Linked DNA regions of Drosophila melanogaster. The protein of the gene in region 1 interacts with the protein of each later gene in a pairwise test. Each region holds a gene or a part of one and is shown in the gene's direction. Other genes may lie near its edges. The genes, in order: GV1 and dUTPase.

Region 1 (4,893 bases):
ATTTAAGCATTGGAAAATAGCATAGCTATATATTATGATGACATGATTGGATGGGTTTTCGTAACCCGCTGAGATATTGCATTCTATTAGGTGCTCCTCATTTCTCTCGGTGCACTTTACCATATCACACCGAAGGCAACTTGTCAGACCAAAGTGATTTTAACAGACATTTCTGTTGATTTACTATTCGAACTTAAACACACAGACACACACATAATTGGAAAAACTTGTGTATGCTAATCGATAGGCGAACTGATTGATATGGATTTTTAATTGCATTTACAATTTACAATTTAATTGACCTAAACTATTCTGCCTCTGAAAAGCAGGGCCTAAATTTCGCAGTCGTCCAGAATCACTTGGCATAATTTTATGTCTTAATGAGGAAACCGATCCGCCATTAAGCGCAACACTGTGAACCCATAAAACGAAGTTAAATGAAATTAAATAAATGCGAACACAGCAGTATTTTGCATTGACATTAGGCGTTCGATAATTATACGAAGTGTTGTCTGGGGCTCATTAACTCGGCCAGCTAATAAAATCAAAATCGGCTGACATCCAATCAAATTGATGGGGACAACCACTTCGTCGTGGGGGCTTTGAAGTGTTTAATGAAAGAAATTAAAATACGCCAGCCTTCAGTTCATGCGTAAAGAGCTCAGCCGCCCCAGACTATATATCATGCTATATCCGATTTCAATGTCGCTCACGTAATCGCTTTCTGTAGTGCCACACTCAATTGTGGTTCAGTGTGTGTGTTATCACCAGGTGACTCGTCGAAGGAGGTCACGGATGCCCCACACACATAGGCCTACAACTCTAGGTACAGTCACATTCAAAATCGAGAGGAATGTAATGCACTTTAAAATCATGCCTGTCATCGTCTTTAATGTAACCAATAAAAATGCTAATTGACGCTTATGCAAATAATTTTGTTTTCATAAAATTGACAAAAATAAATATATATATATTGTGTTTTTAATTATAATTTAAAATTCACAATTCGTAAAAACATCAAGTCCCTCTGATGAACGAAATTAGCATTCCTCAATTCATTAAACATTTCTAAGTTAAACAAATCATTAATAATTTATTGATGCGTTATTACGAACAGAAAAATATTTGTTCAGATGAATTACAGTCATTAAAATGGAAAACGGAAGCAAAATAAATTAGATGGTTTGTTTATATGCCCATATGTCGGAATATTTAATTATGCTGAAGTTCAGATCAGAAATATAATGACGTTTTAAATGTTATTTTAAGTCCACACTAATTCAGATAATTCTCAAATGTAATCTTAGCTTGTAAAAAAATATTTCCCAATAAGCTAGCCAATGATTGCTAATTCAATGCTCTAGTGACTTAAGCAAATGTAGACCCACTAATGATTAAGGTTTAAAAGTAGAAGTTCCATTTAGTCGATTTGGTTTATATACTCGTATTTGTGTTTCCCCAGCTTGGCAACATGTTTCAAGAATTTGATGCCGGAAACGGCCCTAGCAACATGTTGCCTGGGCCACATATGAAAATGAAAACTGGCTGGCAAAAAGCAAAAAGGCAAAAAGCGCACAAAAACACGCCTGAAAATAGAAAACAAAGCGAAAAGCAGCCGAGTTGGAGTTCGGGCTCGGCTTTCCGAGTTCGGGCCTGGCTCGAAGCCGCCTGGCTGATTCGCAAACCAGCTGATGACCAGCGGAGGCCGACAAATCGGGAGACGGAGACTTTGTGCTGATGCTACCACATTCGCTGCTTTCAGTGTGGCCCGTGTCTTCAATGAGTTTTGTCATGCTTTAGCGCAGAAACAGCGGTTCGATATCGTGATACCCACAGCATATAAACAGTATAATATACTATATCCTTCAGATACCAGATAGCAGCGGCAAAGTATGTGCAGTGTTAACTGATGACGATGAATGCTAAATATAAACGTGTGTTGTGAAGTTCTGACCAAGTGCAAGAAAGCAAGAAACGTAAAAATAAAAATAAAAAATAAACACCAACATAAAAGGATCGTTAAGATCAGCGACAGAAACAAAAGACTCAGGCAACGAACTTGCGTGCTGCAATGCAGACAATTTATAGCTTGCAGGCAGCGCAGCTGCTGTCGCAGGCGTGTTAAATTTATGCAAATAAATAAATCAATTCCACAAAGATAAATAAAATTGAAGGCGTTCCGCCGTTTTGCACGCACCAAACACTTTAAGGCATTTGTCAAAATAGCCGAAAAGGCGAAAAAAAAATATGCACAAGCAATCTAGAGAAAAATCCGTTTCCCGAGCTGCCATAAATTAAACCTCGCCCATGACTTTTCTCTCCAGCAAAACTAAATAAACTAAATAAAATAGAGTAGCATAAAAGGGAGGGAAAAAGTTAAAAAACGCTTATGGCCCCTTTAGATGCAGCAACTTGGAAATGAGTTTTGAACAGGCCGCAAATTATTATTGTTATTATCACGGGCAGCCAACTGACATTTAGTTTTGCTTTATCTCCGTATAGTTTTTGCGTTTAATGTGCCGGAAATGTTTTCTCAGACTCCGCGGCGGATAATTGTGGGTACTTGAGCTTGGGTGTTGCCAATGATTATAAAACCTTGTTAATTTGCGCAAATTGGTTTTGCATTTTTCAAGACCAGGCGAAGTATCTTCTCCGACTAGTTAGTCGGCTCTATAAAAGTTAAACGCTTTAATTTATGCACATATCACGGTTCCTTAAATTGGCCGCAGAGCAAATACCTAAGGTCGCCTGATCGGTGGGCTCATTACAGCTCGGAACGGGTTTGGGCCTGCCAGAGATTCTACTGCTGAGCTGCTGACCTCCAGTGCCTCCAGTTTTGACGCCTAAAATCTTGGAGTCCGTCTAAACATAGTCACGTTCCGACTGTTAGCCGTGACATGGGCCGGCGTTTTTTGGCCGGACAGTGCATACTGGCACGCCCTCCTCCTCGGATATTTACGATCGCAAATAGCTGGGACTTGGACGGCACTTAAAATGCGTGGCATGCGGCTCACATTCGGCCAAACTTTGCGACACTGTGTGGCCAAAAAGACCGAGAGCTGCCACCACGCCAAAGGCAATTGAAAATTAACCGTACCTAAGATTTTCAAGAAAATGGTAAATGGTCATTTGAATTGGTTCCAACGCTTACGCATGCGCCACAAATCGTGCGCTACTCCCCCTCGTACTGAAACACATACCCTCTTATCAGGGCGGCCATGTGTGGAACGAATCTCGATCGCGATCGCGATCTCGTCTCGATCTCCGCCAGAAAGCCAAATGCTGCCACGGACACACTGGCAATTGAGACGCCAAAAGTCAGCGTCATCGCAGACACAATCACCGCCAAAAGTAACCGTTCACTAGGGTCCAACTAAGTAAGGCGATTGCGTAATGAGCGCGGCCCATTCCATTTGATATTTACCTTAAATCTGATTTGATATTGTCCCACACGGCGGCATTCGATATGCCAGACTCGTCTACAATTACTATATACCCGGGTGGACATAGGCAACCAGTCGGCTGTCGTTAATGGAGGTGACTTCTGATTTCTGATTTCTCACTGAGGCTGACCAGTTGATCGCTTCAAATTAATAACAAATCTGCCTGTGGAGGACGGCCGAGCAACTTTCCGCGCTCAAAAGGTTATGCAAAAACTTCAAGTGCAACTCCTCCAGTGACTGTAGTTAAAATCGAACAAATTGTTTTGCATATTATACATCGAATGCATCCAACTTATTTTGGTGTAGTGAAAAACCCCAAGATCTACCCTTCAGTAATTGAACTAATATTTTTGCAGCTAAGCGACTTAGAAGTTTCGAGTTTCATTTGACCAAACACAATCGACACAAAATGGTAAGTACACTCATGCATTGTTAACTTTAAGCCAATTTCCGCTCCGTAATCGAGTTTAAACACGTGTAGCTCGTCGTGTTGTTTTGGGGGTAATCAGTGCAGGTATTTATGTATTTCTCGACTTCTGTGTTTGCTCTCACATAATTTTTGAAATAATTAAGCCGCATGCACGATCGTCCAACGAAATTGACACACACTCCCAGCAACTGCATAAATTTCGCAGCAACGCATGAGCAATCCACTCCCAGGCATTCGTGTCATTGGACCTTGTCGTATGAGCTGGGAAATATAAATATATTTAATTCAAATATATAAATGCTCGGCTTATTTTTAAGAAGGTATAAGTATTCAACACGAACATTCCTGAAAGATGAATTATTTCTGGGTGTTGTGAACATGGAATCCTTCTTCAAGCCAGCTAATCATATATTTCTGAGAACATAGAACTTATTACTTATTATGAAATCATAATTCCCATGAGCTCGGCTGCAGTGCCAAGGGCAAAGCACATAAAACCACTCTTTCTGCACACAGAAATTGCAGTTGACAAAGGCATTGACCCACAATGGGCCATGTGAGTGCGGTTGGATGTCGATTCGAGTGATTCTCATTCATTTCGTACGCATTGTTCTGTGGCAAGTTTGAATTTGCGATTCATTTTTGTGCATTTGTTAAGCTGCGCGCTGATGTCTGACCGGAAATGAAAAGAGTGAAATCAGCGTCGTTAATTGTCAAAATACGTCGGGCAAAAACAATATTTGTGCAACATCATTTAAGTAATTAACGTGTTCGATTATTTTTATAATTCTATTTTTGGCCATTTGCCACAGACAAAGAGCCCGCAGCCGAGCATAATTATATTAATATGCAATTTGTTAATTTAAATGACTTCCTTAAGCGATCTTGCTGACTGCTGTTGCGCGATCTTGGATAAATGAATGAAATATTATAGTTAAATATTTACGTTTTTCTTTCGACACTCGATCGGGCTATCGGCTATCAGTCAGTTAGCATTTTGCATTGTGATTCAGATTATGG
Region 2 (3,562 bases), on another chromosome or scaffold:
ACATTGAACTGCTCCTGGAATACTATTCGAGGTACGTATTGAAGGGTTTTCGCAGAGATAAAATTGTTTAAAGGCTAAACTTTTAAAAACTTTCAGAATGATTTCAATGAACGAACGAGTGTGGGCCAACGAGGGTAATGAGTGGCATTTAATACAATCCGTCATACGAGTGGTCTCGCTTCTGGCAGACAACGCACAATCTATTTGGTACCGGTCAAAGTAAGTGCAAAAGTAAAATGCTAGCCGATACGATTTACTTACATTCACATTTAACTTGCAGACGACGAATTGTTGGCAAGGCTCAAGACATAGTGGCCGGCTGCCTGAATATTTGCTACCAAAAGCCCGACACTAATCGTCTTCAACATTCACTCAAGGAACTTCAGAGTCAGCTGCAGCGGTTGTTGATTTAAAGCCGTCGGCCTGCGTTATTTTAATTAAATTTTTGAAAGTGCTGGACTAGACGTTAAGTTTGACTGAGATATATATTGTATTTGTATTAAACATGTTAAATAAATTGATTTCCCCACAGATCGTTGTTCGGATTCCGAGATGGCATGTAACTCATGAGGTGTCCATCATTTTTAGATGAGCTTCCGTCAGAATGCACTTCGTCATGTGACAGGAGCAAGGCACTGGATGCTCCTCTGTGTTGGGGTCTAGCAAATCCACCTCCAGATTGTATTTACGCATATCGGCAGCACTGCGCTTCATTGTGATTTGAAATGCAATGGGTGACTTCTCCTCCAGATTTTCGCAGGATTCCTCGGGCAGGACGACTACACACTGCTTCCAATGCGTTGGCGGGGATAGCGGCGATGTGCTTAGAACAAAATCTTCGCCAGGAAACTGTACATCGAACCAAATGCAGAAGCCCTGGTGATTGCCCGCCTTCTGGGCTGTTATTACCTCCTTGAACTGAATGCTGTCCAAATCGCTGGCTTCCACATCCAGCAGATTCATCCAGTGAAAGACGACGCCCTCGTGCAGAAGATCTTGCGGATTCAGCTGTGTAATCTCCGGTCGGGATGACTTTTGGGTTCTGAGTTTTCTGGCAAACGTGTCCATTTTGATGCCGTCCACGTTGTGCCAATCATCGAAGAGCGATGGTACCGAGCAGGGTGCCACGAAAATTGTGCACTCGCTGGGGAACAGGAGTCCACCCTCCTTGAGGAACTTGTCCCGGGCCAGGAGAACCGAGTCCAACATGCCCTCGTGCAGCAGGTAGAAGCCCATCCACTCGGACACAATGATGTCCACCTTTTCCGCCTCGGCAGGCAGTACGAATTCCTCAACACGCGACTGGATCACCTTCACCACGTTCGTCAGGCCGTTATCCTCAATCAAATCCAGCGCAACTTTGGTGGCCACATTGGATGCTTCTACGGCGTAGACCAAACGGGCTCCTGCTTTCGCACAAAAGGCGGACAGAATCCCTGTGCCGGCACCAACATCCATTACGATCTTGTCCTTGAACAGATCCTTATTCCCCAATATCGCATTGTAGTAGGCTTCTTGCCGAGGACGATCCTTCAGCATGAGCTCGTGGATCTGTAGTTTGGTCACTATGAGTACAGTTTCACAAGAAGATCTATAATCTTATTTACCTCCAAGTTTTCATACTCATCGAAATAAGTGTTCGCCATGATTTAAAGTTGCAGTTATCAACACATTAACATTAACGCATCAAGTGAATTTTTCAAAACAACGTGCTAAATAGAGGTGTGTTAATCAACTACAATAGTATCGATATATCGATAGGGTTGCTTATCAGGGTTGGTTGTGATTGGTCGTTTTACTTAATAAAATCAATTTGATTTATTTATTAATGCCTAAATTATTGTTTTATTTATTATTTGTTTAATTAAACTCAAGGCATAGTTGTATATATGTTTTTTAGAAATGCAAAGCTGACTTAAGATTTTTTGGTAGATTTTCGGCGATTTGTACTTTTGGTATCTTGCAACACTGGAAGTCCGCCAATTTTCCGACGCTGTGTTAAACCGCGTTATTTTCAGACCAGAATTCTGCAAGTAAGCTGAAAAAAGTCTCTGTACTTTCGAAGCATTCCTGTAATAACTCAATTTGCTCCAAATGCCATCAACCGATTTCGCCGACATTCCAGCTGCCAAGAAGATGAAGATCGACACGTGCGTCCTGCGATTCGCCAAACTCACCGAGAATGCTTTGGAGCCGGTGAGGGGATCCGCCAAAGCGGCGGGAGTTGACCTGCGCAGCGCCTACGACGTTGTGGTGCCGGCACGCGGAAAGGCCATTGTCAAGACCGATCTGCAAGTGCAGGTTCCGGAGGGCTCCTACGGACGCGTAGCCCCACGATCCGGGCTGGCGGTGAAGAACTTCATTGATGTGGGCGCCGGTGTGGTGGACGAGGATTATCGCGGCAATCTCGGCGTCGTCCTGTTCAATCACTCAGATGTTGATTTCGAGGTGAAGCATGGCGACCGCATCGCCCAGTTCATTTGCGAGCGTATCTTCTATCCGCAACTGGTGATGGTGGACAAACTGGAGGACACCGAGCGCGGCGAGGCAGGATTCGGTTCCACCGGAGTCAAGGATCTGCCGGCAGCCAAGGCGCAGAACGGCAACGGAGAAAAGGCTGCCGAACCGGAGGGAGCTGCTCCGGCTCCTGTTGCTACGTAAACGAGGAACTATTGCCGCATTCTTAATCCCTTCATGGTCACTATCAAAGAGTTTCATTCTGTATCCTTAAGTGAAATATGTTAATGTATTGGTATATTTTTATCTATTAAAACCGCAAATCTACGAAGAAATGTTTCCCATAGTGTCATTAGATTGACTGGTGGATGGTGGATCACTAGATTTCCTGGATATGCATTGCATACTTTTGGCATGTTATTTCTAAAAGGCTTTTATTTTTCTTTATTTAAAAAATTTGTGTTAGGTTTTTCAGGCAGCTTAAACAATTATTCCTCACTTATGAGGTAACTGGTAAATAACTTATATCCTTTGAATACTTTTTTATGCACGCAATTTCTGAGCTAAATATTTATATCGATTTTCATCAAGCCAACCAATTTTAACTAAATGTCTTTACTAAGGACCTTTTACTAAAATGTATCAGGAGTAATGTTATCGAAACATACATAAATTATTTACAATTCATTTCCATATTTAGGCAATGAATGGGATGTGTCTTCATTTTGGCTTTTTCAAAAAATTGCACTGACCATCCATCCAGAATTATGGATCTAGTTTAAGGTTAATATACATACATATGTACAGCTGTAACTTGTATTGCATATTTAAGTAGGCATGAAGGGCCGCGAAAGGTTAACGCTTGGTGCTAACTATATTCTAGTAACTAGAAGTACTTACTTCCAACGGAGTATGTATACAAACCGCTTTAGATCTTCATAAAAAAGGAGTTTGCTGAACAGAAGTCGAGCAATTATGTTTCTGCAAGAGGAAGCCGACTTGGCTTTATGGGTTTTCAAGTGGCTAGGGATACTTGAACCAACCGGACAGGCGCAGTGAGTTATGACCGAGTAATGAGAGCCAAGAAGCGCCAACCGGCGATGGC

Evidence for each region.
Region 2: the proteins of GV1 (region 1) and dUTPase interact in a two-hybrid assay, tested with the Drosophila melanogaster proteins (one large-scale study listed by BioGRID).

What each region holds. Positions count from the first base shown.
Region 1 is NT_037436.4:1,808,830-1,813,722, forward strand, and holds the start of GV1 (GV1), read left to right. Parts: upstream 1-1,758; 5' UTR 1,759-1,890; intron 1,891-3,799; 5' UTR 3,800-3,852; coding exon 3,853-3,855; intron 3,856-4,893.
Region 2 is NT_033779.5:11,009,347-11,012,908, forward strand, and holds dUTPase (deoxyuridine triphosphatase), read left to right. Parts: upstream 1-1,965; 5' UTR 1,966-2,094; coding exon 2,095-2,661; 3' UTR 2,662-2,789; downstream 2,790-3,562. Other genes in the region: Nup154 (nucleoporin 154kD), read left to right, coding at 1-31, 97-219, 281-413; Art8 (arginine methyltransferase 8), read right to left, coding at 565-1,551, 1,608-1,646.